7 linked regions of the Macaca fascicularis genome follow. The protein of the gene in region 1 binds, or shares a complex with, the protein of each later gene. Links are inferred from orthologs where the notes say so. Each region holds a gene or a part of one and is shown in the gene's direction. Other genes may lie near its edges. The genes, in order: TFDP2, MYBL1, E2F1, E2F4, RBL2, LIN52 and E2F2.

Region 1 (3,500 bases):
CTTGATTTTTTTAAGTCTAAAATCCTCCCAGATAATGCAAGGGCTTAGAACACTTTACCTCCAATATGTTTTTCTGTTAATATATACTATTTATTGTCATGTATATTAATTAAGTTCTGTATTTATTCTAGCCTCCATAAGACATTATTATTGTTTTATACAGTGAAAATTGAGATTTACCCACATATTTACCTTTTGGATTGGTCTTCATTCTATCCTACATCTCTAAGCTCCCATCTTAGATGATATTTCTTCTACCTGAAGAAATCCCTTTAGTATATTTCAGTGTAGATCTGCAGGTAACATGATCTTTATTTTTAAGATTATTTTGTTTTATATTGTTTGAAAGTATTTCTATTTCATCTTTAATTTTGAAGGATATTTTCACGGAATATAGAATTCTTTTGGATGTCTTTGTCAGTTTGCTAAATAAAAAAATAGAATCCTTCCAGCACTTTGAAGACGTAATATTAATTTGACATATTAATATCATGTGACTGTATCTTAACCCTTAATTATCACTCAATGAAAATGTTTTTTAGCAGGCTTACGATCAGAAAAACATTAGGCGAAGAGTTTATGATGCTTTAAATGTGCTAATGGCAATGAACATAATTTCAAAGGAAAAAAAAGAAATCAAGTGGATTGGCCTGCCTACCAATTCTGCTCAGGAATGTCAGAATCTGGAGGTAAGTGAGAAAATCTGTTTATGAATAGCTTTTTGTATTATTTTACATCAGAGGCATTTTAATTTAAAAATGTAATTGTAATATAAAATATTTCCAATTTTTCATGTATACTATGTCATTTTTTAACAGACTGTAGAATTTTAGAATTGGAAGGTGCCTTATAGGTATAGTCTACAGTTTAATTTGTAAATGATGAAACTGAGGGATATAAAAGTTAAATAACAGTTTGATTTTACTGTTTCTTAGAGAAGATTTTTATTTCATTCTAAGTTAATTCTGAGCACTCTACTAATAAACTTTTGGTGAAATGGTATCTTATTTGATAAGATGCTTGCTGTATGTATCCAAAAAAAAAAAAAAGGATCAAGCTGGCTGTTGATTTCCTTTATTGGTTACACAATATTCTGAATATAGCTGTGAAAGTCAGACTTTTGCATTTGACTTTAGAAATAATAGCAACAGAATGAATAGTGTTTCGTTTGTGTCTTTACCAGAATGAATAGAATTTTGGAATTATGTATGCAGAAGCATTTTAAGTTCTGTTAACTTTAAGCATTATAGAAAATTCTTTCTACATGAGCATGTTCCCTGACATACTGTTTCTAAATTGACATGACATAATTTTACTACCATGACCATAAATGGAATAAACTGAGGTTAAATACGGCTTTGGGGCCAGGCGCAGTGGCTCACGCCTATAATCCCAGCACTTTGGGAGGCCAAGGTGGGTGGATCACCTGAGGTCAGGAGTTCAAGCAGCCTGGCCAAAATGGTGAAACCCCATCTCTACTAAAAATACAAAAATTAGCCAGTGGCGGACGCCTGTGATCCCAGCCACTGGGAAGGCTGAGGCAGGAGAATCCTTTGAACCCGGGAGGCAGAGGTTACAGTGAACCAAGATGATGCCATTGCACTCCAGTCTAGGCGATAAGAGCAAGACTCCATCTTTAAAAAAATGTATATATATGTGTGTGTGTGTGTATATACATATAGCTTTGGGAGATAATTAAGATTGGTTTTCTGTTTTTCTCAGTCTTTTTTCTCCCCAGCAATTCAGTTATTTGGTATTATTATACTTATGGATGGAGAGAGAAACCAGATATTCATCAGAAGCTATATAATATTTTTCATATGCTACAGTGGAAATATCCTCCTTTTCTCGTTTTTCTTCCTTCTGATAGAGTGGAATTTGAGCATCATTTTCATGAGTAATATTGAGCTTATACTAAAGACTTACTAAGCAAAAAAACCTATTCACATCTACCTTGTGCTTAATCACAGGTTATACAAGGCAAATCTCTGAACCCAAGGAACTGTCATTCTAACTGGGGAGAAGAGAAATGTAAAAGAGTTAACCAAAAATGTGATTACTCCTATGAAAGAAATGTACAGATTCTCTGCAAAGAGGGATGGGGGAGGGCTTTACCAAGGAGATAATCCCAGAGCTCAGGCATGAGGTGGGAGTAGTTTGCCAAGTGGATACGGGTGGGGAGGGCCTTCCAGGCAGAGGCGCTGCATGGGCTGAGACAGGCGTGAGAAAGCTTGCCTGGAGCTGGGTGTGGCTAGGGAACAGGCATTTAGAAAGATGGATAGATATCTAAGTGTTAAGCAGTGGGGACCTGATCCTGTAAACAAAGGGAAGCAGTTGATAAATTACAAAGAGAAGGGTTGATAGGATGTTTTTTGAAGGATCACTCTGCCAGTGGGTTGGAAGTAAAATTAACAGGTAGGGAAGGAAATGGAATGGAGGAGGGGGATTAGAGATGGTCTGAGTTAACAGCAGTGGCCATGAGATTGGAGAGGTGTTATAGAGGTAGAATCGGTGTGGCTTGACCTAGTTGGATGAGGGACAGATAAGGGGCCTTGCTTGTCAGAGCTTCTGATAAAGGGATGCTCCTACAACATCTTTTCCAATGTAGAACGCCACACAGATTTTACGTGAATCTTAAGTAATTTAAAAGTAAAACGTGGTGGATAGAGGAATCATGAATGGAAACTCCCTAGTATAAACTAGACTGGATGCGGAGCAAGTAAGAGATAATCTGCTGAAGCAGAAAAGAAAAATGTCTTATTTGATGATCGAAAGACAAAATTGTAACAAATTTAAAGATCTTAATTGTCTTTTATTTGTGATTCTAGAATCTGGCAACACCTCACTAGTAAGTAGAATGAGTGTTCCTATAAGCTGAGCAGAAGAGGTTGAACATTATTCAGTGTTTTAAAGATAGAGAAGCAGCAAAGGCAGATAGAGGCAGAAACAGATGAAAAAGCAGACTGGACATTTCAATGTCACTTTCCTTGTAAGGGTAAAACAGAGAAGACTCTCTTATGCCAGCTGCAACTGGCCTGTTTGGGTAGTTTACTATTCTGTCTTTCTCTCCTGATTTCCTAGGTCAGATAAACAACTTAGTTTTGGCCTGGTGGCATGGAACTTCAGCATGAGTGACTCCATTTTAGTTTGGTCTGTTGGGGCCTAGTGCAGGAGCTCAGTCCAAACCAATGGGCTCCTGTAAATTTTCTTTCTTTTTTTTTTTTTTGTTTTGAGTTGGAGTTTTGCTCTGTCACCCAGGCTGGAGTTCAATGGCACGATCTTTGTCAGCTCCTGCAACCTCCACCTCCCAGGTTCAAGCAATTCTCCTGCCTCAGCCTCCCAAGTAGATGGGATTACTGGTGCCTGCCACTATGCCTGGCTAATTTTTTTTTTTTTTTTTTTTTTTTTTTTTTTAGTAGAGACAAAGTTTCACTTTATGGGCCAGGCTGGTCTCTTGGCCAGGCTGCTCTCGAACTCCTGACCTCGTGATCCGCCCACCT
Region 2 (3,500 bases), on another chromosome or scaffold:
AATTGTATTGTGAATATAATTAGTATTTCACAGTTGTAAATTATATAATTTAGAAGATGGACTCGGTGATACCAATTTTGACTTCTTAGAGGTTCTGTGTTCTAGATAGGCAAATTTGCCAGACAGCTGTATTTCTCATCAGCAAAGCGTTATTATATTCTAAATTAAAATACTCTCATAGAAAAAGCCACTTAAGGTCATTTATTAATAAGAGCTAAAAAAACTTTTTTCAGTTACACACTGTTGTACAAAACTGTTAGATTTAACACGGCAACTGTTTATAGTTTCTATGGATCTCTATTTGATAATACACTTTTTACAATTTTTAGTATTTTTTTTGGTAACTTTTGAATATTTGTTAAATGTTTCTTGAATTCCTATATGTGCTAAACACTGTTCTAAGAGCTGGGGAGACAAAAATGAACAAACCAGACAAAAATTCCTACCCTCATGGAGCATAATTTCCATGGAGTATAAGTGTAATATTATTCATAAGCTTTTTAAAAGAGGTATGAAGAAATAATTTGAAAATCTTAGTTTAATATTTGTGTAGGGATTTTGATGTTCTAGAAATCATCTTTAAACTCTCTTCCATTTTTAGTTTTTCAACACATGTCCTGGAAATGAACAACTTAATATAGAAAATCCTTCATTTACATCAACCCCTATTTGTGGGCAGAAAGTTCTTATTACAACTCCTCTTCATAAGGAAACAACTCCCAAAGATCAAAAGGAAAATGTAGGGTAAGTAGGTATTAAATAATTGTGTTAGAGAAAATGGGGAGCACAATATCAACAGTAGATTAGCTTTTTGTGCATATAAATAGCATGTATCATAATCCCTATTCCTACAGGACTTAGAATTTTTTTTTTTTTTTTTTTTTTTTTGAGATGGAATTTCGCTCTCGTTGCCCAGGCTGGAGTGCAATGGTGAGATCTCGGCTCACTGCAACCTCCACCTCCCGGGTTCAAGTGATTCTCCTGCCTCAGGCTCCTGAGTAGCTGGGATTACAGGCATGTGCCACCATACCTGGTTAATATTGTATGTGTAGTAGAGATGGCATTTTACTGTGTCGGCCAGGCTGGTCTTGGACTTCTGACCTCAGGTGATCTGCCCGTCTCAGCCTCCCAAAGTGCTGGGATTACAGGCGTGAGCCACTGGGCTGGGCCAGAATTTTTTTTTTTTAAATCATAGCCTTATGTTTTCTCCTTAGGACAGTCAAAACCAACTTAAATATAGTATCTTTGATTTCAATGAAAACATTTCTAGTACTTTTTTCTGTATTAATTCTTTTTTCTATTTTAAGATGAGTGATTGAAATCAGAATTACCATAGGCAGGCATACTGTAAAATAGTCTTAGAATGTTTAGATGAAGCATATATATATATATGTGTGTGTGTGTGTGTGTGTGTGTGTGTGTGTGAGAAAATTTAGTGTGTGCTTAAATTGCTTTGCTTTCATTAACTCGTATGCAATCAGATTGTGACTATAACATAAATATCTAAATGATTGGATAGTTTCAGAACACCTACTATTAGAAGATCTATATTGGGTACCACACCAAGAACTCCTACTCCTTTTAAGAATGCGCTTGCTGCTCAGGAGAAAAAATATGGACCTCTTAAAATTGTGGTATGTATATTCATTTTATTTTTAATAATTTTCCTAATTTTAAAAAAACACATTGTGATTTTTATCACTTTGATTTTTAACATTTAAAAAAGATGTTTACTGAAACAGATACAAAGCTTTATCTTTTGATTTTCAAGTTTTTTATTATTGTTGTTTTGTTTTGTTTTTGACATGGAGTCTCGCTTTGTTGCCCAGGCTGGAGTGAAGTGGCACGATCTCAGCTCATTGCAGCCTCCACCCCCTGGGTTTAAGTGATCCTCAGGCCTCAGCCTCCTGAGTAGCTGGTATTACAGGTGCCCGCCACCACACCCAGCTAATTTTTGTATTTTTAGTAGAGATGGGGTTTCACCACATTGGCCAGCCTGGTCTTGAACTTCTGACCTCAGGTGATCCACCCCCGCCTCGGCCTCCCAAAGTGTTAGGATTACAGGTGTGAGCCACTGCACCTTGCCTAATTTTTAAGTTTGAATTTTGTGTCCACCTTTTTCTTTAACTTGTAAATCCTTGCTTGGCTTGTTTTGAATTCTTAGCTTTATAGCATCCAGAGAAAACAGATCAGGTGTCAGTGGAACTCTTCTGTTTTTTTTTTTCATTTTTCTTTCTTTTTTTTTTTTTTTTGGAGACACAGTCTTGCTCTGTCACCAGAATGGAGTGCAGTGGCTCAATCTCGGCTCACTGCAACCTCCACCTCCCGGGTTCAGGCAATTCTCCCTCAGCCTCCTGAGTAGCTTGAACTACAGGCTTGCGCCACCACGCCCAGCTAATTTTTGTATTTTTAGTAGAGACTGGGTTGCACCATGTTGGCCAGGATAGTCTTGATCTCTTAACCTCATGATCCGCCCGCCTTGGCCTCCCAAAGTGCTGGGATTACAGGAGTGAGCTGCTGCGGCCGGCTGAAACGCTTTTCTTAATACTGAAATTTACATTTTAGTAGTTTCAGTCATGGTTACATGTATTAGAATAAAATAATTTTAATATACTGAAGCACTTTCATGATAATATTTAGGAAACTAATCAGGGTACCTCTTTAGGAAACTAATTAGGAAAAGGCTCAGTTTCCTTTTCTATGCAAAGGAGATCATAAAACACACCCCAAATTGTTACTGTGAAGCTGAAAGAGTTGATGCAATTAAAAGAGCTTGTCTGAGTTTCAAGTAGTGTGTGCTTGGTTGCTGCTGTTATTCTAATAATAGTATTTGCGGTAGTAGTTCACGAATGAATAGGACTGGGAAGTGTTCTAGTTACTGTGCTTTCATATATCTTACTGCCTTTGAAATACCTTGGAAAAGTGATGGGCATTTTAGGCAGTTACAGATTTCTGACAAGTTCTTTAGAAATACAATTTTTAAAATATTGGTGACTTTCAGGGTTTAGTTATGTTCTTCTATTTTTAGTCACTTTTTGGTTAGATTCGTTAGCAAATTCTAGTTTACTTGATTTAATTAATTTTCTGCCCAAAAGCATGTTACACACACATCTACTAGTCTTTTCTTTCTTTTTCAAAATACTGTGTTAAAGGGTACATAGTAGGGTTGATCGAGTCTTTTTGTCATTTAGCTCCATGTACTGCTGTGAACAATCATGTTTCCTTTAGAGCTTCCTGGAGTTTTTATTTATGCATATACGTAAATAAAACAAGAGTATGACCACACTTTATTATTTTATAACACCATTTTTTAATTTAACCAAGTAAATGTATATATTTATCCCATAATTTTTAATGTTTGCATAATATTCCATTGTGTGGAATTACCTGATTGATTTAGCCTGTCTGTTTCAGTGTTTTGCTGTTTATTTTAAAAATTCATCATTAATTCAGGAAATATTGATTGAGTGCCTAATAGGTTCCAGGCACTGCACTAGGCT
Region 3 (4,211 bases), on another chromosome or scaffold:
AATTAGCAAGTGACCACGTGGTTCTGAAGCCAGTGGCCTAAGGACCACCCTTGCAGAACCATAGTCTCCTTGTCACAGTCTAAGCAGCCTCTGGCTTAGCGTCTGTTTCTTTCATAACCTTTCTCAGCGCCTGCTCTCGGTCAGACCAGTGATGGGAGGAGTCGCTACTGAGCTCCTAGATTGGTAGGGGAGGCAGATGGAGAAAAGGAGTGTGTGGTCAGCATTGGAACAGAGGCAGCAGTGGGCAATAGAGGAAGCGAGTAAATCCTTGGGAGGGCTCCCCAGAAGTGATGTGTTTTGTTTTTGCGACAGGATCTCGCTCTGTCACCCAAGCTGGAGTGCAGTAGCATGATCATAGCTCACTGCAGACTCGACTTCTCGGGCTCAAGCAATCCTCCCAGCTCAGCCTCCCAAGTAGCTGGGACTACAGGCACGCGCCACCATGCCTGGCTAATTTTTGTATTTTTTGTAGAGACGGGTTTTCACCATGTTGCTCAGGCTGGTCTCAAACTCCTGGACTCAAGCGATCCACCCCGCCCTCTGATTACAGGGATTCCAGGCGTGAACCACCGCGCCCAGACGACGCTTCATGTTATTGTAAACGTTTGTTACCTTTCTGTTCCCGTCTACTAGACTGTGAGCTCCTCAGGGCCACGAGTTAAGGATGGGGCAGATTTAAGGATGAGGCACAGAGCAGGCTCTTCAAACGTTTGTTGAATGAGTGAGGGAATGAATGAGTTCAGGCCGACGCTTTACGTTGGCTGTTGGAGATTTTGGCTAAAATGGGACTTGCAGGAAAGCTTGACGTCCCCCCGCCATTTCTAGCCACCGCTCTTCAGCTTGGGCTCTGGGTGAGCGGGATAGGGCCGGGTGCAGGATTAGGATAATGTCATGGGTGAGGCAAGTTGAGGATGGAAGAGGTGGCTGATGGCTGGGCTGTGGAACTGATGATCCCGAAAAAAAAAGGGGGCAGTCTCTGGAAATCTAAGCTGAGGCTGTGGAAGGCTACAGGTTGAGGGTCACGTGCAGAACAGAGGCTCTGTTCTGAACCTGCACTATAGAAAGGGCAGTGGGATGCGGGAGCATCGGGGCGGGGCAGGGCGGGGCGGGGCAGGGCGGGGCCCGTGTTCCCGTGTCCCCACGCCTCCAACAGGGGACGCCCGGGCTGGGGGCGGGGAGTCAGACCGCGCCTGGCACCATCCGGACAAAGCCTGCGCGCGCCCCGCCCCGTCATTGGCCGTACCGCCCCGCGCCGCCGCCCCATCCCGCCCCTCGCCGCCGGGTCCGGCGCGCTAAAGCCAATAGGAGCCGCCGCCGTCGTTCTCGTCACGGCCCGGGCAGCCAATTGTGGCGGCGCTCGGCGGCTCGTGGCTCTTTCGCGGCAAAAAGGATTTGGCGCGTAAAAGTGGCCGGGACTTTGCAGGCAGCGGCGGCCGGGGGCGGAGCGGGATCGAGCCCTCGCCGGGGCCTGCCGCCATGGGCCCGCGCCGCCGCCGCCGCCTGTCACCTGGGCCGCGCGGGCCGTGAGCGTCATGGCCTTGGCCGGGGCCCCTGCGGGCGGCCCATGCGCGCCGGCGCTGGAGGCCCTGCTCGGGGCCGGCGCGCTGCGGCTGCTCGACTCCTCGCAGATCGTCATCATCTCTGCCGCGCAGGACGCCAGCGCCCCGCCGGCTCCCACCGGCCCCGCGGCGCCAGCCGCCGGCCCCTGCGACCCTGACCTGCTGCTCTTCGCCACACCGCAGGCGCCCCGGCCCACACCCAGTGCGCCGCGCCCCGCGCTCGGCCGCCCGCCGGTACGGACCCCAGGGACGACGCGCCGACAGCGCCTCCTGTGCCCCCCGCGCAGACCCGGGAGGGCGCCGTGTTTGGCCTGGAGGCGGCAGGGGGCGGGGGAGGGGTTGACTGAGGCGCCCAGGCTGGGCGGTGCAGAGCCGGGGTTGGGCCTGCGGGCCCCGCCCTGGGGTGCGGGGTGACCTCGGGCCGGTCCCTGTTTGCTCCTCTGTGCTCTGGGCCTCAGCTTCCTCACTGGAGGCTCCCCAGCGTCAGACTCAGTGATAATAATAACCCACGTGTATTCAACTGGCGTTTACTGCATGCCAGGCCTTCGGCCGACTTCAAGTCAGCTAAAACTCACAACCCCGCTGTGAGCTGTGTTGTCACTGTGCCCATCTGACGGAGGAAGAACTGAGGCCCAGAGAGGGGAAGTGACTTGCCCCTGGTCATACGGCTGCAGGTGGTGGGGCTGGGATTTGAACTGAGGCCTGCTGGCTTCAGCTCAGAATTTGCATCTCGGTAGTGAGCACAGCTGCTAGGGGAAGTGAAGGCGGGGCGGAGGAAGGTCCTGGGGCCTAACCGTTGGTGAGCCATTGAGGAGACCCTCCTTCTGCCTCGATGCTGACTGCCAGGTGCAGGCCTGGCTGGCCAGGCCTCTGGGGACAGCCCTCCTGGCTGGGAGGCCTTCTCTGCAGGGGCGGGGCAGCTGGACCAGCTGCAGGTCCCCTCCCTCTGCCTGTCCTTCCATCTGCCACCCTCCACCCTCCCAGGCCCTGGTTGCCATGGAACCTCATTAATCAGGCAGGCCGACCCCTGAGTCTCTGTAGAAGGACTAGGTGGGCTGGGCCTCTGGGAGCTGGAGAGGCCCCCAGTGCCAGGAGAGAAAATGTCCCAGGGAGATCCTTTAATAAAGTCCTCCCTGATCGCTGAGCTCAAGACCAGTTCAGACTGGGGGGCCCAGAAGAGGCGGCTGAATTACAGTGGGAGAAGGGATTGGAGGTGTAGAGCTGGGACCTGTGGGGCGCAGGGCAGGGTGTGGAGACCAGTTTGACTGGCGCAGCCTATGGGTGAAGGTGGGGCTCTGGTGTGCAGGCGGGGCCTGGCCAGGCAGGATGGGGTCTCAGCAGGGAGCTTGAAGCAAGTGGGAGGGGTGAGGCAGGACTCAGGACAAGGAGGTAGAAGCTGCCTAACTGCTGATGGGGGTGTGGGTGGCAGCTGGTCCCTGAGGCATCCTGAGGAGGCTCCCCCAACCCCCTTGGCCCCATGCCCAATGCTGCCTTCCGGAATCACCACAATGCTAATAATAATAACAATAGCAGCCACCATTGTTTTGAGGATGTCTTGTGTGCCAGGCTCTGTGCCAAGCACTTTACCTAATTAACTCATTTAACCCTATCAGCAGCAGTCCCTTTTTACAGATTGGGAAGCTGAGGCCTAGAGATGTTAGAATCTTCCCATGTCATTCTGCTCTTGAGTGGGGAGACCAGTCTGCATTTTCTGTGAGGTTGACCTCTGGGACGCCTTGCTTCCTAGAGATGCTGATAAAGGTTGGAGAAAGGGCAGGAAGGGCTTTTAGGGGCCCTTCCTCTTAATGAGTGGGTGGGAGGGGTTTGTACCAGGGGTGGACCAGGTGGCCTGTCTCCTGTACTCCAGGGACCTGTCCCTGTGGGTACCGCTTGGGACCTGGGCAAGCATCTTCCATTCAGTTGTGTGACAAGCATATAGCAGGCTCAGGTCTGCAGAAACCTAACAGAACCCGAGGGTCTTGTCCTCAAGTAACTGAACAGGATTATGGGTTCTAGGATCAAAGGGAGGGACAGGGGCAAAGAAAAATGCCCTCCGCGCCACCTGTCAGGGGCAGGCTCATTGGCTTGGGCACTGCATTCATTCAACGGTTGTTGAATTAGTGAATGCCCAGGAGGCACTAGGCACAGAGACAAGGAGCCCCGGCTCCCAGAATACGTAAGGGCCAGGAGGCTAGCACCATTCTGGAGCTGAAGTCCAGAAAGTCCACAGGTTCGGCTTTTGGCCTCTCTGCACTGGCATTTGTCTGGGGCAGTCCTTGAAATAAGCTACAGGCTTAGCTTCTATACCAGCAGGCATTCGTTGAACACCTGTATATAACGCTCTGTGCGATTTGGCCATTCCTCTTGGCCCTGCCTGTCCACTTCCACAAACTCAAGTATTATAACTATAATACGTGTTTACTATGGAAAACTTAACTTTTTTTTTTTTTTTTTTCCGGAGACAGGGTCTCATTCTGTTACCTAGGCTGGAGTGAAGTGGCGTGATTGTGGCTCACTGCAACCTCCGCCTCCCAGGTTCAAGCTATTCTGTGCCTCAGCCTCCCAAGTAGCTGGGATTACAGGCGTGTACCACCACGCCCAGCTAATTTTTGTATTTTTAGTAGAGATAGGGTCTTGCCATGTTGCCCAGGC
Region 4 (4,144 bases), on another chromosome or scaffold:
CACCACCCAAATCCACCCTTCAGGACAGAAGTGCTCATTCTCCAGCTGCCAGGAGTGTAGGCTGCTGAGATCAATATTGGGGTGCAAAAGCATGGTACCATCACGTGAACATAAACTCTTCAGAAGTGCTACCCCAATTTCAGAGATCCTAGTGGCATAGGCTGAGGCCTATAATATAATTGCATCTGCCCAATTCTGCTTGTCTTACTCCCTTAAAGGTGTGGATCCTGACCAGGTGTGATGGCTCACGCTGTCATCCCAGCATTGTGGGAGGCTGAGGTCTGAGGATCGCTTGAGCCCATGAGTTCGAGACTAGCCTGGACAATATAGTGAGACTCTCATCTCTACAAAAACTAAAAATAAATGAGCCGGGCATGGTGTGTGCATGCCTGTGGTCCCAGCTACTTGGGAGGCTGAGGTGGGAGAATCGCTTGGGCCCAGGAAGCTGAGATGGCATTGATCTTGCCACTGCACTCCAGCCTGGGCAACAGAGTGAGATCCTGTCTCAAAAAAAAAAAAAAAAAAAAGAAGTGTGGATCCCCAACAAACTTGCTGCAAAACCCTGTCTCGAGTCCCATTTCCCATAGAACCTGACCTAAAAGAAACAATAATAAATAGTAACAATGTTACAAGTAACAAAATGACCCTAGCAAACTTTCCTACATGCCAGAAATGACTCTGAGTGCTTTACTGATATATACACATAGGTAAATACGTTTGCATTGCCTGAAGTGTATATAACCCCATAGTCTCTGAGCACTGTAGCGGGAGGACAAGATGAGCGAAAGATGAGGCTAGGACCATGGATGGAGAGAGGTGGACAAGGTAGATATAGTTAGTGCTTGCTGTTTGGCAGGAAGTGAGGGACAGGAATAGATGGGGTGACCCCAAGACAGTAGGGGAACCTTTAGGAACATTTTTGATGTGGCAGTAAAATGAGTTTGAAATATAAAAGAATAAATAAAGAGAAAAAAATTTAAAAGGAACTGATTTGAGGGAACAGATTGGATTAGTCAGGTAGTGTGGTCTTGTCTCCCGAGATGGGGACTGGGCAGAGTTAGTGATGTTGGGGCAGATTGGCAAGGAAAGTTCCGATGGCATCCCTTTCTCTACTGCCAGGGCTGCCCACTGACGCCCTCCTCATTCCTCCCTAACTTCATCCCAACTCCCGGTCTACCCAGGTAGTTTTCGTCTTATTCGGCGGCTGGACATTTGCTAATGGTCCCTGAAGTTTTGCGGTTGCACCCACAGACAGCAATAGCGCCGCGTTCCCTGGAAGACGCACGGGGCGGAAGCGGAAGCAGCAACGCTGGCTCCGGCTGCCGGACGGCCAGGAACGGAAGCGGAAGTGGCGGCGGCGCCGGCCTGGCCTGGCCTGGCTGAGGGGAGGCGGCGGGCGGACGCGATGGCGGAGGCCGGGCCGCAGGCGCCGCCGCCCCCGGGCACTCCAAGCCGGCACGAAAAGAGCCTGGGACTACTCACCACCAAGTTCGTGTCTCTTCTGCAGGAGGCCAAGGACGGCGTGCTTGACCTCAAGCTGGTGCGGCCCGGGCTAAGGGGCGACAAGGGAGGATGGTGGACCAGGCCTGGGCCGGTAGCGGGAACCCCGGGGGCGGCCCAGCTGGGTCCTCCGAGAGCCGGCCGCCATCGTGTGCTTTCTCACAGGAGAGAAGCCGGGGAATGTTTCATTCATTCGGCCGAGGCCATTGAGCTACAGCTATGGGCCAGGCTCGGGGCTCCAGGTGTTCGTCCTCGTGGCCCTTCCTGGCTGGCGAGGAGAAGAGCTGCCTATGGGACAGAGCTGCGGGCCTGAGCTGCAGTAGCGCCTGGCAGGCACTACAGGGTTGGAATCCAGGTTACTCCCTTCCCAGACCACGTCTCAGGGTGGCTGGGGGTACACCCGAGAGTGGGGCTGAGCATTCTCCACTCTGTCTGCCAGGCAGCTGACACCCTAGCTGTACGCCAGAAGCGGCGGATTTACGACATTACCAATGTTTTGGAAGGTATCGGGCTGATCGAGAAAAAGTCCAAGAACAGCATCCAGTGGAAGTGAGTGGGGATAGTGGGAGGGTAGTAGAGTCTCCCACCCAGAAGTGTCGGGGGTGGGGTGGAGGGTGCCAAAGAAGGCAGGGGCCGTGGGACCCAGAGTTCTCAGCAGTCCCTCTCAGCCCCACTCCCTGGGCTCAGGGGTGTGGGGCCTGGCTGCAATACCCGGGAGATTGCCGACAAGCTGATTGAGCTCAAGGCAGAGATCGAGGAGCTGCAGCAGCGGGAGCAAGAACTAGACCAGCACAAGGTGTGGGTGCAGCAGAGCATCCGGAACGTCACAGAGGACGTGCAGAACAGCTGATATCCTCCTGGCGTTCCCTCCTGGGGGGAGTGGGCAAGGGGCCCTCTGGTTCAACTTGCCCTGGGCAAGCTCCCTGTTCCTCTTGGGAGCTTGTCCTGTGGCCCCTGGCCATGGCCCAGCCTCAGGCTCCCTCCTCAGAGCCTCTCCCCTTCCAGTCTTAGCCTGTGATCCCTCCCCCAGTGGACCTGAGTCCCCAGAACTTTCTCTGAGGGGCCTCTGTGTCAGACCTTGGCTAAAGAATTGGGTCTTTTTTGTAGTCTGCCATCTGTCACCATAGGGCATCGGCCATTCTCCTTAACCCTCACACTTTGGCCTACGTCACTCATGAGGACATCTGCAGATGCTTTGCTGGTGAGCAGAGCCTGGGTAGGGGTGAGGGGGTGGGCTGGGCTCAACCAAATCCCTGAGCACTGGGCTCAGTGTCTCAGGAGAGTTCCGTCTCTTAAGAGGGTTTCTGGGGCCTGCTCAGAGAGGAACCAGGCAGGGTAAGTCTTCTGTCTGAGTGTCACTGGGACCCTGTGGAGGTCAGCTATACCAAGAGGGTACAGGAATTCTGGAGTGGGTTCCTGGGTCTGTTCCCAACTGTACTGTTTCCTGGATTTGGCTTCTTGAGTATGATAGAGGTACAAGGGGGAGAAAGGGAGAGAGGATATGTGTGTATTTGCTTGTGTTCAGGCTCTTACATGCAGGGCATGGGGGTGCCCACTTCCAACTTGTTAGTTTAATTGCATTGTGAATGCAGGATATGTTCCTTTTTTTTCTTTCCTTTTTTTTTTTTTTTAAAAAGAGACAGGGTCTTGCTATGTTGCCAGGCTGGTCTTGAACTCCTGAGCTCAAGCTGTCTTCCCCGCTCAACCCCCTAAAGTGCTGGGATTATAAGTGTGAGCCACTGTGCCCCGCTGATGTGTTTCTTCTCCATCATGTATCCTCCTGACTGGTCATGGGAAAGGGATGTTGGCCTTGGCTAGAATACCTTCACCTAGGGAACAGCCATCGGTGGAAGAGTGAGGTGCCTGTGGCCAGTGATATTTGACTCCACATACTTGAACCCAGATTTCCTGGTTACTGACTCTGGGCTCTCAGGAAGAGAAGAGCTTTAGCTCTGCCCAGCCACTATGGGGAATGGGTGAGGTCCACTGTCTAGTCCCTCAGAGACCATGATCTCCTGCCTTGCTCCAAAAGACAGGCACCTCTGTTCCCAGCTCAGATTGAGCCCATGGGCTCTGACCCATTCTCCATGTCATTCTAGGAGATACCCTCTTGGCCATCCGGGCCCCATCAGGCACCAGCCTGGAGGTGCCCATCCCAGAGGTGGGTGCTTAGCCCAGGCAGGCGGGGTCAGCTGAGGGCGGGTGCTGGCTGTGGAGACTGATAAGTCCCGGGTGGGGCAGGTAGGGGAGGCCTGGAGTTTGGGGTTATCTAGGAGGATGGGCATCCTGGGTGGGAGAGGACACTGGTCCTGACAGAGTCGGGCAGGAGCCAAGCCTGCTTCCAATTCTACCCATCTCCCATCCCTTACCACCCATCTCTAGGGTCTCAATGGGCAGAAGAAGTACCAGATTCACCTGAAGAGTGTGAGTGGTCCCATTGAGGTTCTGCTGGTGAACAAGGAGGCATGGAGCTCACCCCCTGTGGCTGTGCCTGTGCCACCACCTGAAGATCTGCTCCAGAACCCACCTGCTGTTTCCACGCCTCCACCTCTGCCGAAGCCTGCCCTAGCCCAGTCCCAATCCCAGGAAGCCTCACGTCCAAATAGTCCTCAGCTCACTCCCACTCCTGTCCCCGGCAGCGCAG
Region 5 (3,500 bases), on another chromosome or scaffold:
TCAGTATTTCTTTGAACATTTTTTTCTGCTTCTTTCTCTCCTCTCCTGATTCTCCCATTACACTTATGTTGATTTCCTTAATGCTGTGCCACATTTCTCTGAGGCTGTTTATTTTTCTTCATTCTTTCTCTGTTCTCAGATCACATCATCTCTTCATGTTTGCTAATCTTTTTGGTTTTTTTGCTACTTCAAATCTATTTTCCCTAGCTTCTAGTGAATTTTTCATTTCAGTTACTGTAATTTTCTACTCCAAGTCTTTTTTTTTGAGATGAGTCTTGCTCTGTTGCCCAGACTGTACAGTGGCTCAATCTCAGCTCACTGCAACCTCCGTCTCTCGGGTTCAAGTGATTCTCCTGTCTCAGCCTCCCTAGTAGCTGGGATTACAGGCACATGCCACCATGCCTGGCTAATTTTTGAATTTTTAGTAGATACTGGGTTTCACCATGATGGCCAGGCTGAACTCCTGACTTCAAGTGAGCCACCCTCCTCGGCCTCCCAAAGTGCTGGAATTACAGGTGTGAACCACCGCACTGGCCTCTAAGTCTTGATTCACATATTATTCTTAATGAATTTTAATAGATATTCTTGAATCGATGTATCTTCATTTGCTATATGCCTTTAATACCATTTCCAGAGACTTTAAATAGCTTTTATATAATTTTCACCCCTTTTACTGGGCAGCAGGTTCACACAGCTCCTCACACTATTATGGTGGAAGTTGTTGTATCTCTCAGAGCACTCTTATTGTTTGCCAGGTCACAAAAGAAGATAAGTCCTTCCAGAATATTATGCGTTGTTATAGGACTCAGCCACAGGCCCGGAGCCAGGTAACTACATTTTCTCTATGGGCTGAAAATAACGCTTAAAGTCTGTGATGAATACAAGAAATTAACCATAGTTGACTCTGTGGCCTTTTTTTCCAAGATAAACACCTGGGACTCTACTTAAGGGAAATTTCTGCTTTAATCTTCTTTATTCTTGATGTCACATGTTGATTAAGTTCTCTTTTCCTCAGAAGGCAACAATGTTAAATATTTGATTGCCTTCTCAATTCAGAAAAATCACAAGATAGATAGGAATTAAGAAGTTACTTGGTTTCTATGTCACCATTCTGGTTTAGTAAACATACTGTACGTTTAACCAAGAGAATGTCACATGGAAATTTAAAACCCACTTTGCCTTTATTACGATTCGTCTCTGAGAGGCAAATTGGCAGATCTGTGTATCTGACTTAGAATGACTTGACTTTATGGTTGGGTGCTGTTACCGCAGCGTGGTACTGCAAGTAGTACTTGGCATGTGAAGCTAGATGGGCTCTGATTGAATCTTAGATCTGTTATAATTTGAGTTATGTTTCTTAGCCTCTTCTGAGGACAACTATTGCTACACAGATTATTGTGAAAAGTAACATATGTCAAGGTCCTATCACCAAGGGTGTGCTCAACAAATACTAGTTTACATCCCCTTCTCATTATTTCTCTAAAGGTGTATAGAAGTGTTTTGATAAAAGGGAAAAGAAAAAGACGAAATTCCGGCAGCAGTGATAGCAGAAGCCATCAGAATTCTCCAACAGAACTAAACAAAGATAGAAGTAAGTGGGATCTTTGTGAACTACAAGACAAAATTAGGAGCTTTTCTTACTTTTTAGGACTTGAAGTAACCATTACTAAATGAAATAACTATAGAAACTATGAAAGTGTATAAACAAAGGGTTTAATGGATCAGTAAATCAAATTCTGGGTGGCAAAACTGTCCATTCCATAGCTTTGGGGCACATATTCTATAACATTTTTCTCCAGGAGAATTAGAGCTTTCAGTGAGGAATCTGCTTGCCTGAGTTTCAGAAAGGACTGACATGTCAGTTGGAGCCATGCTATGGAAATACCATCCCCTACCTGTTGGTTTGTCCTAGGGCTTAGGTCCTAGAAAACTTGGTGTAGCTTATTAATACTACTCAGAAAGCCCTTGCTATGGTTATGGCATAGGGATATCAAGTTAAAATCCTAGCTGAGCTTTGCCTTTTGGTGTGAAGAACAGAGTGCCTATTCACTGTTATTAGCAAGTAATGCAGGTAGCTGTTCCCTTTCTCCTACTTTTTAAAAATTAAAACAATCTATACTAGCAGCTTTTGTATTGACACCCTGTGTTCTCCTGGAAGCAGCCAGTAGAGACTCCAGTCCAGTCATGAGGTCAAGCAGCACCTTGCCAGTTCCACAGCCCAGCAGTGCTCCTCCTACACCTACTCGCCTCACAGGTGCCAACAGTGACATGGAAGAAGAAGAGAGGGGAGACCTCATTCAGTTCTACAACAACATCTACATCAAACAGATTAAGACATTTGCCATGAAGTACTCCCAGGCAAATGTAGTAAGTATTACAGGGATCATTTCATGCTTTTTTCATGAGTATTGAGGAATTATTTATGATTTATATATGGACCATTCACCTGGTCCATATATAAACTAGTTTTGGCCAAGCGTGGTGGCTAACACCTGTAATCCCAGCACTTTGGGAGGCTGAAGCGGGCAGATCAGTTGAGGTCAGAAGTTCGAGACCAGCCTGGCCAACGTGGTAAATAAAACCCAGTCTCTACTAAAAATACAAAAATGAGCCAGGCGTGGTAGAACACATGTGTAATCCCAGCTACTCTGGGGGCTAAGGCAGGAGAATTGTTTGAACATGGGAGGTAGAGGTTGCAGTGAGCTGAGATTGCGCCACTGCACTCCAGCCTGGGCGACAGAACGAGACTCTGTCTCATAAATAAGCTAGTTTTACAAATAATTCTATTAAGTAAAACTGAGGAGGTCTGTAATTTACCTAACCAACATAAGTTCTGTTGTTAAGCATTAAACAAGAATAAGATTGTATTTGGAGTCCCTACAAAGTATAGTAGTACAAGAGACAGGCTACATGGGTTCAAATTGTCTAGTACTTAACAGTAGTGGTAACCTTGCAAATCATTAAATTTTCTCTGTACCTTGTTTCCTCATATATATAAAACATGGGAATATAACTAGTTCTTAGCATATGGAGTTGTAAGGATGAAATGACATAATGTATAAAAATTGCTTAAAATAATAACTGGCACAAACTAAGCACTTAAGGTTTGCTATTAGAATGTTTTTCTTTAGGTTAAATTAGTGCTAATATATCACTCTTATCATTCTCAGTAAAAATACCTCATTATAAATTTCTTTTCTTAGAGTTACTGATTTTTTTTTTTTTTTTAACAGATGGATGCTCCTCCACTCTCTCCCTATCCATTTGTAAGAACAGGCTCCCCTCGCCGAATACAGTTGTCTCAAAATCATCCTGTCTACATTTCCCCACATAAAAATGAAACAATGCTTTCTCCTCGAGAAAAGATTTTCTATTACTTCAGCAACAGTCCTTCAAAGGTGAGCCTAACATCAATCTTGGCCTTTACTAACCCCAAAATGCTTCAGATGCTAGAAAGAGGGTTTGTGCTAAGCCTAGGCACTCATTAGAGTGATGAGAGC
Region 6 (2,365 bases), on another chromosome or scaffold:
GTCTGTAGCAGGTCGGTAAGAATCTTCGCACTGCAGCAGAGCGAGGATAAAGAAATGAGGAATAAAATAAGGGCTATATGAATTAATCAGAAATGTTAACATCTCTGATGACAAGTGAACAGGAGGGCACGTGCTCTGGAGTTTGGATCTGATTGTTTGGATCTTTTGCCGAGGGAGAGAAGTCCAAAGCACTAAACAGTCTCTGCCTTCAGTACCTTTTAGTAGAGGAAGACAACTATATAAGCAAGGAATTGCATGCAAGTCTTATAGGAACTTTGCTTATACAGGATTTGCTATAAATCCACAAAGGAAGGAACGGTCTGTTTGATTTGATCTGGGTTGGGATTGTGGGCACGTGAGGCAAGACCCAACACTGGGCTTCTATGCCTAGTTAATGGAATTTCCTTTCCCTCTGTTGGAGCACAGGAACTAGTGAAAGATGGGGAACGTATAGACTGAAGTTACCAAAAGCCTCCCTGTGGTCCCAGAGGTTGTGTTGTTTTATGTCTTCATTGTACAATAAAACAAGAAAATTTAAGTTGGGGCAGAGGGGAGCGGGAGGCCATTCATCTAGCTCTGTTTGCTCTGGACTTGGGAAAGGCAACAAGGAGGCCTGGGTGAAGGTCCTTCTCGTTCCTGAGGGTGCCTCCCTAGCCACCTCACTTCTTTGGCCATGATGGAGATGTGTTCTTGGGAGGCCACACAACCTGCCCTGTGCCTACTGCATGGTTCCAGAAGGCCTGGCTCCCAGAGCCAGCCATCAGCCATCAGAAACTTTCTGCACTGTTAAATCCATTTAAGAAATCTGAAAACATGGCCTTTTAGGATGAGGATGAGGAAGGGGCTGTTACACTACGTATGCTTTCTGAGATCTAAAATGGGGGACCTCTGGAGTGGCCCTTGTAACTGAGAAATGTTTTACTTTCATTTTGGAACCTTCTATGTAGGAAAGTAGCTATATAAACCCACTTGTAACTACAGCATTCAAAGATTGATGGTGCTGAAAGCCGGAGAAAGACACATAAACCTTGGCTGGCTATATTAAATATCTAAGGACTGACAATGCCAAGGGAAAGAAGACCAAAGCTCTATAAACCCTACTTTATGACACCATCCACAGATGAACTGCACTAAGGGAATATAAACCCTGTTATATTACAGTATCCAGGGACTACCACTGCCGAGAGATAGGGTAAATGATCTCTAATTTTGATTTGAGATTATAAATGTCCAGAGACCAGCAACCCAGAGAAGACTAATCTTGGTTGGATTTTAGGCCCCAAAAGCAAACCCCCTGAGATAGTGAACATGAGTATTAGGTTAGATTCTTGAGACAGAGAGAGGTTTTGGGGGAATCCCCTGGTGATTTGTTTAAAGGTGAATGATACAATCTTTCGCAGTCATTTGGTGTGTATCTCAATTGCCAACTTCAGAATAGCTTTGTAGAGTTGTAGTTGTCTGTAACGGTTTGTTTTTACCCTCTTTTAGGAGGTTAGTTGGTGATGATTAAATCTGTTGTGATAGCAACTTGATATATAATTTAAATCAATCTGCATTTTTAAGTTAAATCTTTCTATGATTCTTTTTTCAGATTTTAGGTTTTCATTGATCATTTGTTTGCTTTGTGATTCCAGCCAGAGAGATGACACGGGGGAAATTCCTCAATATTCTAGAGAAGCCCAAGAAGTAGCAGCTGCTTGTGGACAGGATGTCCTGGGGTTCGAAACCAAGCTCCCTTCCCGGTGCACCTCTAACAATGCACACCTCACTGCTTGCTTGGGAGAGACCAGAGGGTGTACCTCCAGGACTGCCCTCTCCCCTGTTCCTGGCACTCTACGCGTCTGAGGACATTCAGCAGCAAGAGAAGAATCTGCTCTACCCAAGGATCATTGCAGTTACTCAGTCAGCTTTCAGACTTGAACCTTCTTAGCCTCGGATATTGGTAACAGCTGAGGGCATATCATTCTTAAAGGTCAAAGTCCTGCTTTCTCATTTCTGGAAGTGATTCAGGAGCCCCAGGATCTTACGGTTGATTTGACTCAGTCATGGCAGTCAGTTGTGACATGTTGATTGGATGGGTTCTTTTGAATTGTTCTTGATCTCTTAGGAAGTGTTTTTGATGCAAGGAGACCAGAGACCAACTAGATTCTGGACCAGACCATGCAGCCTGACCTGTGAACTCTCCAGTATATACTAAGTTCCCAGAATCCCCAGCTGGAGAAACCAGAATCTTCTTGAAATGTACATCTGTTTTTTAAAACTTCTATACCTCTTATGATAGTCCCATTTGCTTTTCATTCCTTACTTCCCAGCCCCACCTTCCAGTTCTGACTTCGGGCAAAGGGATCCCTGAGTCCCTCCTGGA
Region 7 (3,500 bases), on another chromosome or scaffold:
AAGTTTAAAAATTAGATGGGCATGGTGGCATGCACCAGTGGTCCCAGCTACTCAGGAGACTGAAGCGGGAGGATTGCTCAAGCCCAGGAGGTTGAGGCTGCAGTGAGCCGTGATCACCCTACTGCACTCTGCACTCTAGCCTGGGCAAGACCCTGTTTCCAAAAACACAAAAAAAAAAAAAAAAAAAGAAGAGAAAGAAATGAGCTTAGAGTGCTGGAGAATGGCTACTGAAAGGTCAAATAAGATGAGGCCAGATAAATGACCATTGAATTTAGCAGCATGGAGGTCATTGGTTCAGGGACATGGTGGGGAGAGACCCCAGACTGGAGTGAGTTGAAGAGAGAATAGTAATAAGGAAGTAGAGACAAGCTCAGGCTACTCTGGAGAAAGTTTACTGCGCAAAGGAGCAGAAAAATGGGCCAGTAATTGGAGAGGGTGACGAGGTAAGGTATAGTTGTGTGTCGTGGGGAGTAGAGTCAACATAACAAAAATTTACCATCGTAACTATTTTTAAATGTACAGTTCAGTGGTAATTAATACATTCATAATGTTGTGTAACTATCACCACCATTCATGTCCATAACTCCTTCCACCTTGTAAAACTAAACTCTGTACCTATTCCCCATTCCCCTGTCTCCCCAGCCCCTGACCACCACCACCCTTCTACTCTCTGTCCCTGCGCTTTTGACTAAGTATTTCATATAAGTGGAATCACACAGTATTTGTTTTTTTGTGATTGGCTTATTTCACGTAGCTTAATGTCCTCAGGGTTCATCTATATTGTAGCATATATCAGAATTTCTTTCCTTTTTGGCCGGGCGCGGTGGCTCAGGCCTGTAATCCCAACACTTTGGGAGGCCAAGGGAGCCGGATCACTTGAGGTCAGGAGTTTGAGACCAGCCTGGTCAACATGGTGAAACCCCGTCTCTACTAAAAATACACAGATTAGCTGGGTGTGGTGGTGTGTGCCTATAGTCCAGCTACTCAGAGGCTGAGGTGGGAGAGTCGCTTGAACCTGGGAGGTGGAGGTTGCAGTGAGCCGAGATCACAACACTGCACTCTAGCCTGGGTGATAGAGTGACACCCGGTCTCAGAAAAATAAAAAGTACATGAAAAGGGGTAGGGTTGGGTGTAGACTCTGGAAGGTGGATTTTGAGAGCAGGGCGTTGCACCCAGGCTGAGGAGAGAGGAGAAGGGTGCAGTCGTCCAGAGAACCGGAAGTCTGTCCTCGTGTGCTGAGGGCTTGGATGCCAGGGCCAGGCGTAACCTTTGTCTGTTTGTCTCCAGTGCCAGCGCCAGCGCCAACCCCCCAGCAGGCCCCACTGCCTCCATCCCTGGTCCCCTTGGAGGCTACTGACAGCATGCTGGAGCTGCCGCACCCACTCCTGCAGCAGACTGAGGACCAGTTCCTGTCCCCGACCCTGGCGTGCAGCTCCCCTCTGATCAGCTTCTCCCCGTCCTTGGACCAGGATGACTACCTGTGGGGCTTGGAGGCGGGTGAGGGCATCAGCGACCTCTTCGACTCCTACGACCTCGGGGACCTGTTGATTAATTGAGTGGCCCCGCCTGCCCCCAGCAGCCTGCCCCCGACTCTACCTCCTCACAAACAGGCTGACAGGCCCTCTGCCTGCACAGGGACATTGGACACTAGGTGCTGCCCTCAGGGAATGGGGTCTCCTCGCCTTTCCCACCCCAGCCGGCAGAAGCTGTGTGGGGAGATGTGAATGGTACGGGTGAGGAGGGGATAAGGGTGTGGGTCCTCACCTTCCTAATGGAAGCTGGGCCTGGGGAGGCCCATCCAGTCTTCTGACCTCTGACCTCTCACGAGAAGGCTGCAGGTGAGGTGGCCAAGTCCAGGGAAAGGCCCTGCTACCTCCTTTTGAGGGGTAATTAGGACCCTCGACGTACAAGAAGCACTTAATGCCTTTGTATTTATTTCAGGTTGAGTGGTTTGTTTGTGCTCCCTGAGTTTTAGCAGGGAGGTTGTTCTAGTTTTTAGTGAGGCCTCCGCAGACAGGCCCATCAGGGCCCATCGCTGTCCATGTTCCAGGGCAGGTCTGGGTTTCCAAGGGAGGGACCCAGGCCACGTCCCTGGTTTCCCCATAGTGGTGGGGCTGGGTCTCTGAGGGGCTGTCCAGTCGGCCGGAATGCTAATTGCACTTAGGCCTCACAATTCTAGTAAACGGCAGCTGTGGGCCCTTTCGCCTCTCCCCTGTTCTTGGCCTCACATCTCCAGCTGAGCCGCCAGTCTTGGCTTCCTGGTCACCTCTGTCCCAGACATGGTTCCAGGGAGCCATCCTAAGGCAGGTAGCACTGTGGCTCCTGTGGAAACAGGAGCCACCTGCTCAGGAGACCCCTTTCCTGAGGAAGTCCTTACCTCTCCCTCCCTTTGAGATGTAAAAATGGTCCAGCAGAGACAAGCTCCCAAGGAAAACAGACAGGAACATGGGGGCAGCTCTCATGGCTGTGGCGGGCACCTTTCCTCAGAGTTTCTGCCTTGCTGTGGTCCAGGAGCCATTTTGCACCAAGGACTTGGTAGGCAGAGGCAGCCCCACTGTAAAGAAGGGTCAGATTAGGCCGGGCGCGGTGGCTCAAGCCTGTAATCCCAGCACTTTGGGAGGCTGAGGCGGGTGGATCACGAGGTCAGGAGATCGAGACCATCCTGGCTAACATGGTGAAACCCCGTCTCTACTAAAAAAATACAAAAAACTAGCCGGGCGTGGTGGCGGGCGCCTGTAGTCCCAGCTACTCGGAGGCTGAGGCGGGAGAATGGCGAACCTGGGAGGTGGAGCTTGCAGTGAGCCAAGGTCGGGCCACTGCACTCTAGCCTGGGCCACACAGTGAGACTCCGTCTCCAAAAAAAAAAGAAAAAAAAAGAAGGGTCAGATTAAAACAAAAAACTGCCCAAAGCATCCCTTCTGCCCCCCGATGTGGCGCTGGCATCATTCTCTGCTTCCCTGGGAGGAAGTTTTTCACCATGTTATTGAAGGGGATGGTTCCTTAAGGACCGCTCCACCCCTCAGAGCTCACTCAGACCCCCAAGGACAGAGGTGACTGGGGCTTGGTGACTTGTTCACCCCTTTTTTCCCAGGTATACTGAGGGGTGACAGAGAGAGGACTTCATGGCAGACCAGGCCTTCGCAGCTAATGGGGAGAGGAACTCATGTTACCTCTTCAGGCCTGGGGTCCTAAGGGGGTCTTTTGGCTTCAGCCTGTTCCCCCAGAGGCTTGATCATCCCACATTATCCCTGCAGCCCAGCTGCTCTTGTCCTCCACTCACCCTGGGATGTGGGTGCTCTGGGCTGAACCAAGGCCGTGCCTTCTGGAGAGAGGCGCAGGGGTTGGTCTGAGAGGCCTGCCACCCACCCCTCAGGGAGCTAGGTTTTCTCAGAGGCTTGGCTGGACAGCACTTTTTTAAAAAGTCTGTAGCATTAAGCTGGTTTAAAATATGAAGTTGGTTTTGTTGGATGGCTCCTGAACTAACTGACTGATGTCTGAAG

What was found.
Region 2: TFDP2 (region 1) and MYBL1 share a complex: the UniProt entries of both Homo sapiens proteins name them as parts of the DREAM complex. The link is inferred for Macaca fascicularis from reciprocal best matches to the Homo sapiens genes TFDP2 and MYBL1.
Region 3: TFDP2 (region 1) and E2F1 share a complex: the UniProt entries of both Homo sapiens proteins name them as parts of the DRTF1/E2F transcription factor complex. The link is inferred for Macaca fascicularis from reciprocal best matches to the Homo sapiens genes TFDP2 and E2F1.
Region 4: TFDP2 (region 1) and E2F4 share a complex: the UniProt entries of both Homo sapiens proteins name them as parts of the DRTF1/E2F transcription factor complex. The link is inferred for Macaca fascicularis from reciprocal best matches to the Homo sapiens genes TFDP2 and E2F4.
Region 5: TFDP2 (region 1) and RBL2 share a complex: the UniProt entries of both Homo sapiens proteins name them as parts of the DREAM complex. The link is inferred for Macaca fascicularis from reciprocal best matches to the Homo sapiens genes TFDP2 and RBL2.
Region 6: TFDP2 (region 1) and LIN52 share a complex: the UniProt entries of both Homo sapiens proteins name them as parts of the DREAM complex. The link is inferred for Macaca fascicularis from reciprocal best matches to the Homo sapiens genes TFDP2 and LIN52.
Region 7: TFDP2 (region 1) and E2F2 share a complex: the UniProt entries of both Homo sapiens proteins name them as parts of the DRTF1/E2F transcription factor complex. The link is inferred for Macaca fascicularis from reciprocal best matches to the Homo sapiens genes TFDP2 and E2F2.

What each region holds. Positions count from the first base shown.
Region 1 is NC_088376.1:44,787,825-44,791,324, reverse strand, and holds part of TFDP2 (transcription factor Dp-2), read left to right. Parts: intron 1-542; coding exon 543-689; intron 690-3,500. UniProt on the Homo sapiens protein: Can stimulate E2F-dependent transcription.
Region 2 is NC_088382.1:76,568,944-76,572,443, reverse strand, and holds part of MYBL1 (myb-related protein A), read left to right. Parts: intron 1-601; coding exon 602-744; intron 745-1,519; coding exon 1,520-1,634; intron 1,635-3,500. UniProt on the Homo sapiens protein: Transcription factor that specifically recognizes the sequence 5'-YAAC[GT]G-3'.
Region 3 is NC_088384.1:89,710,102-89,714,312, reverse strand, and holds the start of E2F1 (transcription factor E2F1), read left to right. Parts: upstream 1-1,411; 5' UTR 1,412-1,532; coding exon 1,533-1,793; intron 1,794-4,211. UniProt on the Homo sapiens protein: Transcription activator that binds DNA cooperatively with DP proteins through the E2 recognition site, 5'-TTTC[CG]CGC-3' found in the promoter region of a number of genes whose products are involved in cell cycle regulation or in DNA replication.
Region 4 is NC_088394.1:63,212,453-63,216,596, forward strand, and holds the start of E2F4 (transcription factor E2F4), read left to right. Parts: upstream 1-1,344; 5' UTR 1,345-1,405; coding exon 1,406-1,540; intron 1,541-1,939; coding exon 1,940-2,049; intron 2,050-2,187; coding exon 2,188-2,349; intron 2,350-2,657; coding exon 2,658-2,701; intron 2,702-3,599; coding exon 3,600-3,661; intron 3,662-3,882; coding exon 3,883-4,144. UniProt on the Homo sapiens protein: Transcription activator that binds DNA cooperatively with DP proteins through the E2 recognition site, 5'-TTTC[CG]CGC-3' found in the promoter region of a number of genes whose products are involved in cell cycle regulation or in DNA replication.
Region 5 is NC_088394.1:49,468,637-49,472,136, forward strand, and holds part of RBL2 (retinoblastoma-like protein 2), read left to right. Parts: intron 1-755; coding exon 756-827; intron 828-1,485; coding exon 1,486-1,591; intron 1,592-2,158; coding exon 2,159-2,367; intron 2,368-3,233; coding exon 3,234-3,398; intron 3,399-3,500. UniProt on the Homo sapiens protein: Key regulator of entry into cell division. Directly involved in heterochromatin formation by maintaining overall chromatin structure and, in particular, that of constitutive heterochromatin by stabilizing histone methylation.
Region 6 is NC_088381.1:142,138,976-142,141,340, forward strand, and holds part of LIN52 (protein lin-52 homolog), read left to right. Parts: intron 1-1,634; coding exon 1,635-1,845; 3' UTR 1,846-2,365.
Region 7 is NC_088375.1:211,610,218-211,613,717, forward strand, and holds part of E2F2 (transcription factor E2F2), read left to right. Parts: intron 1-1,287; coding exon 1,288-1,556; 3' UTR 1,557-3,500. UniProt on the Homo sapiens protein: Transcription activator that binds DNA cooperatively with DP proteins through the E2 recognition site, 5'-TTTC[CG]CGC-3' found in the promoter region of a number of genes whose products are involved in cell cycle regulation or in DNA replication.